3 linked regions of the Oryzias latipes genome follow. The protein of the gene in region 3 interacts with the protein of the main gene of each other region in a pairwise test. Links are inferred from orthologs where the notes say so. Each region holds a gene or a part of one and is shown on either strand. Other genes may lie near its edges. The genes, in order: sec24c, mtmr9 and mos.

Region 1 (3,650 bases), on a different chromosome or scaffold from region 3:
AGAAGAAAAAAAACTATCAGAACATTTAACTGGCAAGTGTGATTCATTCCTGAAGAACAAGCGGTGACAATCCATAAAAGACTTCATTCGCCGCACCCAGACTTAAACTTTCCTCTGTTTGAAAAAGGGATGCAACAAAAAGTCCAGCTCCAGCTCAGAAAATTAAGAGAAGGGGAAAGCACCGACCTCATCAGGCGGCAGGATGGCGAGGGGCTTGATGACGGCAGCCAGCGGCACCTGGGACTGCTTTGCCATGTCGGCGGTACACGGCATGTTGTAAGCCGTGCAGCGAACAAACCTCGGGCTGGCGTTCCCTACAAACCAGCAGGTCATCCATGAGTGTTTCTTTCACAGCCACACCAGGTAAAAACAAATAAATAACGTTTTTTCTGATCAGTTAGTTCCCATGTTTATCGCAGGAATCACCTTCTAAAAATAACCTGTTAGGTGAAATCAGCAAAGTAGACATCCTTATTTTTACAATATTTATAGATGTTTTAAAACTCTTACACAGTTTACAGACTTTTCAACTTTTAATTTCATTCTAAAGGATTATATTTAAATTGATTTAGATGATAATGTAGCATCATTACTCATTAAATTCTTTAAACATCCTACCTGTGGCTATAATGAGTCCTTTTAGAAACCCTCAGATAGAGGTTGGGCTTAGAGGTAAACAGGGATTCAAACCCTGACTGGATGAACGAGCAAGAAAAGTGGAACAAACCTTGATCTTTGACCTGAAAGTTGGTGGTGACAAGAGGCGGAGCCTGACCCCTGACCCCTGTTGTGAACGGCTCGGTGGTCTTGGCCTTGTCGTCCTCTATTACCTGGATCTAGATAAACGAGAAGCAACACGAGAGTTCAACCTGGAGTGAAGGTCCAGAGGTACAGACACACTGTCCCAGCCCAGATCTCATCCCGCCTAAAAGAGGAACATGAAACAGCCATGCAGGAGGAGAGTCCGCATGCAGATTAGTAACATCTTCAACAGAAACAATGATTTCTCATTGGGAAGAGCCAGGGTGAAGGGTCATGCTCACACTGTCGACAAAGTCACAAAACCAAATCCTTTGAACAGAACAGGGTTGTAAAGATGAGCCTTCAATACAAGGATCTGTGAGCAGGTTAAATGCTGCAAGCTGGCATGCAGGGTTCAGAACAGGAGGATCAATCCATGTTTTAGGTCAAGGAGGCAAAACAAGGAGCTGCATCTCCCCAATAAACACACAAGCTGTAGTAAGAAATGCGCACTATTTTTAACCATCTAATTCAATCTGTCAATGTCAGCTCTAAGACAAAAAGACGAAACAAAACAGTATGACGTTTGGGAAAATACTTTCTAAGAGGGAAAACTAGTTTGACAGCCCATCAGGAATGACTTTTTCAGAATTTCAGAATTAAACTGAAATGTTGAAATCCCAACCATCTAGAACAAACTTCCAATCCACTAGAGCATTGGAAAAATCTGCATCAAGGCGGATCCAAGGACAGCTTTAGATCCAGCATATCGAGCTAAAGAGACTCCCCACATCCTGATGGACTCATTAACATCTACAGCAGACACACAAGATTCTATTCCTGTATTTAGGAGGACGCTTCAGGACATCCGGATGTTCTTCATCTACATCCAGCCTGGCGAGCTTTAGCAGCGAACAAGGATCTGGCCAAAACGTGGCCATTATAGCTGCGTTATGAGCAGTGCTTTGCTGTTCAGGAAAGGCAGGTTAGCTTGATTTCTAGCTTGCAACACCTCTGCACGGCCCTGTAGAGCGATGCAGAGCAGGAAACTCCTCGATCACTCCTTGCAGCGTGTGAACAAACACAGCAACTCTTTACTGCCTGATCTGTCAGCTGTTCTAAGCCGCTATGTAAAATAGATAGTGCAGCAGCTACACCTGCCGGCAACTCCAAGACACAAACCTTAACCTCCAACTCTGCCTCAGTCAAAAGAAGGCCCACCTTGAACAGCTTTGTACTGTTAAACTGTAGATCAATGTATTTATTGGTCATATTAACACTGTCACAATGTTACTTTGTCTTCAAATTAACCCAAACAAACTTCCATACAACAGAAAAGTCCTCTGAATTGGAAAACGTTGAGTCTGAAACTGTTTAGACACACATCTCAGGTTTAGTGCTGGTGGTCCATTTTACCAAATTTATCGGGGGGTACGGGGGGGAGCAGAAAAGCACGGAGGGGGGAGGGGGTGTAGTGCAACCAGGCAGAAGTGACAGGATGAAGAGAACGAAGACAAGCACACAGGAAACTTACTGGGCTGGGGATAGCATCTGGGTCTATTCTATGTCTTGATTTCTGCACAGGCGGCATGTCAGATGCTTGCTTTATATTCAAATGTTTGTCCAGCAAATTTGTGTGAACAGGACAAAATAAATAAATACAAAGATTACAAAAAAAAGGTACGAGAGAAGAAAGGCCACAGCAAGACTGCTCAGAATCTCACAAACAGGTCAGTGCTGGTTATAGATTAGAGCTTCAGCAGTTTGAGTGTAAGTAGATTTAAATTAGATTTAAATTTAGCAGCAAAGCAGATTCAGTCCATGGTGGTATTTCAAGCTGAGCACAAAAAAAAAACAACATTTTGATGTTGTCCTAACTTTTCAAAAGTACATTATATTCCAAGAAAATCTGGCTCAAAACTAAGATGATTATGTATTTGATAAAATCGATATAAAAATCACAAATCCTATGACAGCTAGATGTTTATTTTGAAAGGAAAAACTGATAGTATTTAAATTAGGAATCTTTATTCTGAAGTTGTCACCAGTCATTAAAATATTGTCACACCTTTGCTCAACTGCTTAAGGATTCAGTTTAATTTATGGAGCTTAGAAAAACAGTGAAGTGGTGCACGGGTCAGAACCAGAACATTGGTGGGAGAACAGTACATGCACTAAGGTGGCTTACTGGACTTGGAATGGCGTCTGGGTCGAGTCTTTTCTGGGCCTGTGGAGTTGGAGCTGGAGCTCCGTAGTTGGGTTGTCCTTGATAAGGACCTCCATAACCAGGCTGAGGGCTTCTTGGCTGCCCAAACGCACCTGAGGAGGGCACCACAACTGATGAGTCATGCTGAGGAATCCTTTCTCACTGATATCTCTTTCTAATCATCTTCTCACCATTATGCTGCGGAGGGTAACCAGTCTGCATCCCTTGCTGAAGAGGAGGCTGCTGAAGAGGCCCTGTAGGGCTTGGCGGGCCCTGGGGTCCTGGAGGCTGATGGTTACTCTGACCAATGGATGTGGGGGGCATTTGGGCTTGGGGAGGTGGGGGGCCTGGGTGGTAGGTGGGTGGCTGAGATTGAGGAGGCTGCTGTGGTGGCGGCATAGAGCTAGGGTACTGCCCAGAGGAAACTGAGGAGGGAGGAGGAAAGGAACCTGGTTGTGATGAAGGTGGGGGCGCTTGAGGTGGGAAGGATCCCTGGGCGGGTGGGGGTGGCCCAGTGGTGAAAGCAGGGGGCTGACCACCAGGTGCTGAGGAGAAAGGGGGCTGATGTGGAAGGAAGGGCGGCTGTGTCTGGGTCACTGGGGTAGAAGCAGGTTGAGTGGGTGGAGGGGCCGGACCAGCGTAGGAGGTGGAGGAGGGAGGAAAAGTATGCTGAGGTTGACCTGGAGAGACGAACCGTTGCTGA
Region 2 (4,411 bases), on a different chromosome or scaffold from region 3:
GAAAAAGAACATTAGTGGCCTGACCTGTCAATACACTGGGCAGCCAGGCAGGCAGTTGTGAGGATTTCCCTGACATGAGACAGCCAGTTGGACGCCTCTAGCTTGCTCAACCAGCGGTCCATGCTGTGGGACTGATCATTACAAGCCTCCACCAGTTTTATCAGGCTCTCCTGGAGGACGTTATACCTAAAAATGAACACATTTTATCGAATTATAACACAAATAGATAAAGCAAAAACAAATATCTCCTTTAAGATAGAGATCTTGCTATGAAACATTTACAAAATCATCACTGGATCAGCTGCAGTCCTTCAATCACCTCTCAATGGATTTGTGGATCCTCCTCCACTGTGGGTAGTTTGCCTCAGACTCAAATCCCCCCCCGCGAGCTTTGGCCTGCTGGGCAACATTAATGGTGCGAGTGTCAATGATGTAGCCGCGCTTTCCAGGCCTCAGAGTGGCATTGATCAGTTTTTCGTCTTCCTTACACCGCCTCCCGTTGGTCCCCGCCAACGGCTGTCCGGCTCGCATCATCACCTGAAGACAGACATCAGGATTTTTAGGAGGATTCGCTGCTATTCCCTCAGGCAGTGTCATATCTTCGATCCATTCTAAGCGCACTTACCATGCCGTTTTTGCTGTGATAGTAACTAAGCACTGGGAAACGGCCGCCGTGGCGAAAGGTGGCAACTTTCCTCAACGCGTCATCGTCGACGTCTTTGGGTACCACCACAAGAGAGGGATATGACGAGCACACGCTAAAATCCTTATTGACTTCACTCAGCCTCCACTCATCGGTCTAAAAGAGGGAACGATACGTTAAAAAGAGGGAGAGGACTCGTCTGAGTCAGTAAAATGACACTTGTCAGATTTAAGCGGACCATGGACTCCAAGCCTTTAAATGCATTCTGTGGAAGAAAAGAGTTCCATCCATCCTCCAGGACCTCGAACATGGGCCGGTAGAAGAACGGATACATGAGGGAGACGGAGTCAAGAGTGGACAGGGCCTAGACGGGACACAAAAGCGACAACATGTTAAGCCATATTGCTTAATAAACCAAATCCAATGAAAATTGTGTTTTTGGTGTTTATTACATGTTCTTGTGGCATTTTTCTGATGATGGAGGACATATATATTTGTAAAATTCTTATTAAAACTGTATTTCTCAATATTCATATATTCAAATCACGAAACAGGAGCAGACAAAAAATGCAGTGTTTGTGATGTAGAAAATACAGTTGGTGCATCACAAGCTCTTTGCTCCGCTCAATTCTGATGCATCGAGTTGCAGACAAATAGATCTTTGTTTTCCTCGTCTGAGCTGGAATCTGGTTCAAAACTGTACGGCTGGATAGTTACAGTATTGCTCGCTATTTATTTTTTTTGCACAGCTAATGTTAAGGTTGGGGGTGTGAGGGGCTGTAAGCTAGGGGGAAGAGTGTGCAAACAGATAGGTGATGGGAAGTGGGAGTGGGGTTGCTGCACGCCTACAGTCCCGCAGACAACTCAGAGGTGAATTTCTAGTGAACTACTGCCACTCTGCAGAAACTAAAAAAAATGTGTCTAAAAACAGCATAATTGTCGTTAAAACACCACTGGGAAAGCTTTTAGAATAGATCAAAAGATGATTGGGACTTTAATCGCATGGATTATCGAGCTAGAGTTTGCAATAAAAAGGAAAAAGAAAAAAAAAACTCTGGGGCATCATTAAGGCTTTTTACCTCAATGGAGCTGGCGATGTTCAGGCATTCCTCCATGCCGGGGATGTCGAGCTGAATCACTCTCAGGTCTTTGCATTTGACGATGATGCTTCCCAACGACCCAACAAACCTACAAGAAGGAGCAAATTGTTAAACAAATAAATAAATAAAGTTTCGCAGAAGGTTGCCATCAGAGGACAAAACCCATTTAAAAGGAAAACGTGTAGATAAGCGTGTTAAGGTCTGCACTGATTCCATTACAAAGTCTCTTGTTTTGTTCAAACACTTAATATGTTTTGATTTTTGTCTTGATTTTTAATAACCTGAAGTACATACGATCGTGCTTAGATTACCCCAAATGTAAAGATAAATGCTATTTAGTTTTCCCCAAAAAATGTTTAAAAATGACTAGCACATCTGCATCTGTCATAGCAAGGAAGTACCAAAACATTGTCTGTTGATCTTGATGGAGCATCAAATAAAGACCATGCAAACAAACTGAACAGGAAACAGATGTTAAAAGCTGTCAAAACAACAGGAAGATGCTCAACTATGAATGCAGCGTCACCTCTTCTCAATGGAGTCGATGTTTGAATGAAGCAGCCACAGCTCCTCCGTGTTGTCCTGTCTGGAGGAGAGAATTAGATGGTGGCCAGTTAAACAAAGAGTCCCTTCCACGTTGGGCATGAAGGGCCGGTGCAGGACAACGCCGTCCGCTCGGGGAGTTTTGATCAGCTCTGCGAACTCCATGACTGTCAGGACACAAAAGTATGCGCACAAACACACTGGTTACTCAATTCAACAGGACTTATGTGGCGTTTCACTGCAAACTAACCACAGAAATTGATGTTGGAGATAAACTGCTGCCAGACTGACGAGTCACTGAATCAGGAAGCAAAGTGGCTAACATTAGCTAGCAGGCTAATTGTGCAATAAATCCATGATTTTCTTTAGACGTGATTTGTGTCACCATAAATATTGTTAAACGTTTAAAGTACGTCTATGCTATTAATTTTTGCAGCCACGTTTTCCACGAACGCGAAAAAGGTTTGTCAGACACTTACCTGATCCTGTTTTGGGGCTTTCGGACAGCTGGGTAAATATTCCGAGCGCACCCCACCGGAAACGTCTCCCGGAAATGTCTTTTTCCCAAAAAACTTTATTAACACAATACAAAACAACAGATAGGAGAAAACACTACTGTGCAACTATAGCACATCAAAAATATGCATTACAGTTCAGAGTTTTATGTTTTGTTTTTGAACATAGAATAAATGGCACGTTTTGTTTTAAATATGCTGCTTCTTTAAAAGATGAAGTGTTCTTGTAGCCTTCGCATGTGTTCTTGTTTTGTAAGAGGACTTAAAGTCCTAATAATAGATTGCAGTAAAACAAGGTTGTAAGCTGGACCATTCACATTATGAATATGGTATTTCCCAAAGATAATCAACAGTTGAATTATAAAAATGACATTTTTTGATAAGCCATGTAATTCAAATATAACATGACATAAAAAATATTAATTTTGATGTCTAGATTCAATTTTGTGATGAATAATTCTTCCAAATCCGACACAATTTATTTGTGTAGATACAAATAAATTGCAGAATGGCTTCCCTTCTTGACTGGCAAAAAACACAAGATTCTTTGATCCTTATTCTAAATTCTGTAATAATTTGATATGACATTTTAAATGAAACTTCTTTTATTTCGTTATTAATGCAGTATTTATGAACAGGAGAAATAGCATTTTCCTGATGTAGGTCACCCATGGTTGAAAACCAAAAAAGCTTTACAGCAGGTGGAACTGAACGAGAAATCTGATTGAACTATATGGTGCATCCTTATTGTGATGTCCACATCTCCAATAAAAACTCTATTGATTTCAGCTCAATCAAGTTTTAATGATATATGTTTTAGAAACTGAAAGTTTTAGAAACTGAAGGGAGATGGTACGATTGCATCGAATACAACGGCATATTCTTTCGGTGTCACTGGTAAGCCAGAACTCTGAAGAAATTCTGAATATGACATGAAAAAATCATAGTTTAGTAACTGACCTACCAACAGTATTCCTCTGTCAAACCATGAGCAGTAAAACGATTATTGGAATTATTATTAATTATTGGATTAAAGGAATTCTTTGCAAAATCCTTTGCAAAAAAACAGAAAAAACAGTTGCTAATAAGAGATCTGGACTGAGCAACCCCCCCCCCCCCCCCCCCCCCCCCCCGCGTACCAAATAGGGAGTACCTGCTGGCTCCAAGAAGCCAAAATCCCATAGACTTCTATAGATAATAAAACAGCTATTACTCAGTCATTTTATTTGACAGAATGACAATTCTTGCTCTGAAGCTTGTTTTTAACATGTTCTTGTTAATCCTAACTTTTTTCATGATATTGTTGCTTAAGCACAGGTTCCTCAAGGTACAAAATGACCAATCAGATGCCTGAATAAAAGCACTCGGACCAATCACTGCTTAATGTCGTCGTCTGGACTTATTGGATGTACCTATACATTAAATGAAATTGCATATTAAGCTGATGTATGGCATCAAACTCTCTGCCTGTGCAAATCAGTGAAAGTTGATTTGCTGTGGCAACCCCTGAAGAGATATGTAGATGTATAAAACATTTTACCTGACTAAATATCAGCCAAATTAGGAAAAACATAACCACAGTGATCTGCAACTGTAACAACAGTAAATGA
Region 3 (3,398 bases):
TGCAGATATCTGGAATCATTGAGATGGGCTTTCTCGGATTTACAGAATCATCTTCAAAGGAATTACTGGAATAACTGGGAGAAATTGATTTCTTAGTCATTTTTCTGCTCCATACTTTTATTTTTTCAAATACATCCACATTTTAAGTATGCTCATGAAAAGAAATAGAAGCCATAATGCAAAAAGTCGCTAAAATAGTTTATATGAACAAACTTTGACTGAAGTCCATTGAGAAAAACAATTTACAAAACTGATAACAAATAGAAAAAAATAAAATGGACAACAAATTTTCAGATCAGGTTCTTTATTGATGGAATAACTTAATAAAAATCACACTTAACATGCCTGTTTGATGAAGTCTGCATTTATGTCGTCCTCCTCGCGTCTTTCTTGGACGTGGTACACTTGGCCGACAGTCAGTCTGATAATAAGCAACCATGTGGTTTGCTGAGGGACTGATATCTGTCTACCAGTTTACCTCTGAACCAATCCAAAACGGTTCCTCTGATTGTCCAACTTTTTAATTAATGCTTTACGAATAACTATTTCAAATGCTTTTCTTAAATTGATAAATATTCCCACTTCAGATTTCTTTTTTTCTTTCATCAGATCAGTTGAAGTCCAGTTTAAATGTCGTTTTATTCTATCAATGACTGTGTTTTCTATTATGGGTTTGAGCAACACAGTGATATTTGTATTCCCACTATCGTCTGACTTTTTGTGTGCATCTGTTGCCTTCCATCGCAGCATTCACAAAAAACAGCAACATGTGCTTCAAACCAAATCATTTTCCTGGAAAAGCCATCAGTTATCCAAAACCGTACAGGCTGACTTTGTCTGATCCATCTATAGTTTGGTCCCTGACGAACAAACGTCCTTCCAAACCCAGGAATCTGAAAAATTCCAGCTGTGTCCATCAGCTGGATCATTAGCAGCTCAGCTTTAGACATCCACCATTCTGGTGCATCCATCTTCCACACCAAAAAACACCGTGAGGTGACTTCTTTATTCGGCTGAACAGCGACTCAAAAGCATCCACCTTGAATCATTTCAGTAACTTTTGAACTTTGGCTTTTCTCATTTATTTCAGCAACAACTTTGTGTTTTTCTATAGACATTTTTTTAAAGGTCACTAAGACGTGTGATTTTTTTAAACTGATGCCAGAACAGTTGATGTAAATAGTTTTGAAGAGGTTTTTAAAATAGTAGCACACATGATATGTATTCAAGTAAGTGTTTAAACTTAAATCAAAACACAACCCTGACTCTGTAAGGCTGATTTTGTAAACGTACTTCCTTGGCATCCAGTCACGAGTTTAATGCAACTTCCTGAAGGTGTTTCGTTTGTTTATTTGTTTGTTTGTTGCTGTTTTTTCCCTGTAATTTCCAATAAAGCAGAGGAATGGAGAGCATAACAGGGGTCCCGGTGGATTTCTGACGCCTCGGTATTTTGTCCCTCCTCCTGCGCCATATAAACGCACCTGTGGCGGGCGCGTGAAGACTCAAGCCGCCATGCCTTCTCCGATTCCCTCGAGCCGCTTGTTGCCCAAAGGCCTCTTCCCGAGTGCGGTGGTCGGCGCGTGCAGCAGCCCGCTGGCGCGCACGCAGCACGGCTCCAGCCTGCAGGTGCCCCCCCGCTCCTGCACCTCCGTCATTCATTGGAAGCAGCTGCGCTCCGTGGAGCCCGTGGGCTCGGGCGGCTTCGGCTTCGTGTACCGGGCGGAGTACCTCGGGAGCACCGTGGCGCTGAAGAAGGTGAAGAGGTGCAGCAAGAACACGCTGGCCTCCCGGCAGAGCTTCTGGGCTGAGCTGAACGTGGCGCACCTGCACCACCAGAACATCGTGCGCGTCATCGCGGCCACCACCTCCGCGCCAGGAGATTCGGACGCAGACAGCAGCATCGGGACCATTCTAATGGAGTTCGTGGGGAACCGGAACCTCCAGCAGGTCATTTACGGGACGGCGGAGCCGCTGGAGGGAGCGCGGTGCGTCCGGTACGCGGCGGACATCGCGCGCGGCCTCCGGTTCCTGCACTCCCACGGCGTGGTGCACCTGGACATCAAGCCGGCCAACGTCCTGCTGAGCGGCGAGGACGTCTGTAAGATCGCTGATTTTGGCTGCTCTGTCAAACTGGACCGCGCGCGTGAAACCTGCGCTGACCACCCGCACGTCAGCCTCGTGTGCGGCACCTACACGCACCGAGCCCCGGAGCTGCTCAAGGGCGAGGCGGTGTCGCCAAAGGCGGACATCTTCTCCTTCGGGATCACGCTGTGGCAGCTGCTGACCCGGGAGCCGCCGTACGCGGGCGACCGGCAGCGCGTGCTCTACGCCATCGTGGCGCAGGAGCTGCGGCCGTCGCTGCGGGACAGCGCGGTGTTCGGCTGTGCGCGGGGGCAGCGGCTGCGCGCGCTGCTGGCCGCGTGCTGGAGCGCAGATGGCCGCCGCAGACCCAGCGCCTCTGAACTGCTGGAGCTCCTGCAGCGGCTGCCCTAAACCGGAACGGCACGGATTGGAACCGTTCTTTCTCCATGACTGAAAGCCGTTCCGTTCTCACAGGGAGCTCTTTTACTCACATGTAAATATATTGGATTACTTGTCATTAAAACGTTTCTAGTAGCAAATGTCTGTTTTGTTCTAAGATGTTTGATTCTCTGCTGTTCAGGCCTGAAAGTTTCAGCTGGAGGCTGAAGATGCTGAAACTGCTGTAGCTTCATGCTGAACTAAAGGTGGAAGTTTGCTCATTCAAATGCTGCTGAAGAAACCAGCCTAGTACTAGTACTAAAAGGTCCTTAAGCAAATATGTTGAGTACTGTAAAAAAAAAACTTGAAATGATAAAATGCTGGAACGTTAAAGTTAAGTTATATAATGAACTAAATGATCTTTTAAAAAAAATTAGTAAAAAAATGTGTGGGTTTAATTCAATGGGAAATATTTAGTAAAGAGCTAGTCTTTCTGAATCTGTTCTACAGTAGAAAGATCTGAGTTCGTATGTTCCATATGAATGTGAGGCTGCATCCACGCTGAACATGATTGACGTGGGAGGGGCGTCGTTCACGTTACAACAGCGTTTTTCAACCTTTTTGAGCAAAGCCCTGTTGTGTTCTCCATCTTTGTGTCCATTTTACACAAAAAATGCATGCATTTTATAAACTCGTATGGGGGGGTTAAACTCAGTCACACTGAGGCCTAAATCTAAAACAGGCTTTAGGTTTTGGGCTGAACAACAAACATTTACTGAACACACTAAAGCTAAACTTCTAAACCTTTAAAACTGAACTTTTTGATCATAAATATAAATAAAAACAGGAACATTAATCCAGAATAAATCAAGTTAAACCTTAATGTTTCATATTTCTCCATAAAACTAGATTCTGTTAAAATTATACAAATATGAAGA

Evidence for each region.
Region 1: the proteins of mos (region 3) and sec24c interact in binary tests that used the Homo sapiens proteins (3 or more experiments, as listed by UniProt). The two-hybrid records come from large-scale screens. The link is inferred for Oryzias latipes from reciprocal best matches to the Homo sapiens genes MOS and SEC24C.
Region 2: the proteins of mos (region 3) and mtmr9 interact in binary tests that used the Homo sapiens proteins (3 or more experiments, as listed by UniProt). The link is inferred for Oryzias latipes from reciprocal best matches to the Homo sapiens genes MOS and MTMR9.

The regions. Positions count from the first base shown.
Region 1 is NC_019877.2:12,924,017-12,927,666, reverse strand, and holds part of sec24c (protein transport protein Sec24C), read right to left. Parts: coding exon 3,139-3,650; intron 3,061-3,138; coding exon 2,930-3,060; intron 2,345-2,929; coding exon 2,276-2,344; intron 837-2,275; coding exon 728-836; intron 315-727; coding exon 187-314; intron 1-186. UniProt on the Homo sapiens protein: Component of the coat protein complex II (COPII) which promotes the formation of transport vesicles from the endoplasmic reticulum (ER).
Region 2 is NC_019882.2:13,974,867-13,979,277, forward strand, and holds the start of mtmr9 (myotubularin-related protein 9), read right to left. Parts: upstream 2,862-4,411; 5' UTR 2,766-2,861; intron 2,747-2,765; exon of another isoform or gene 2,537-2,746; intron 2,454-2,536; 5' UTR 2,452-2,453; coding exon 2,270-2,451; intron 1,832-2,269; coding exon 1,723-1,831; intron 1,008-1,722; coding exon 882-1,007; intron 800-881; coding exon 626-799; intron 538-625; coding exon 320-537; intron 187-319; coding exon 25-186; intron 1-24. UniProt on the Homo sapiens protein: Acts as an adapter for myotubularin-related phosphatases. Increases lipid phosphatase MTMR6 catalytic activity, specifically towards phosphatidylinositol 3,5-bisphosphate and MTMR6 binding affinity for phosphorylated phosphatidylinositols.
Region 3 is NC_019878.2:1,546,197-1,549,594, forward strand, and holds mos (proto-oncogene serine/threonine-protein kinase mos), read left to right. Parts: upstream 1-1,512; coding exon 1,513-2,493; 3' UTR 2,494-2,893; downstream 2,894-3,398.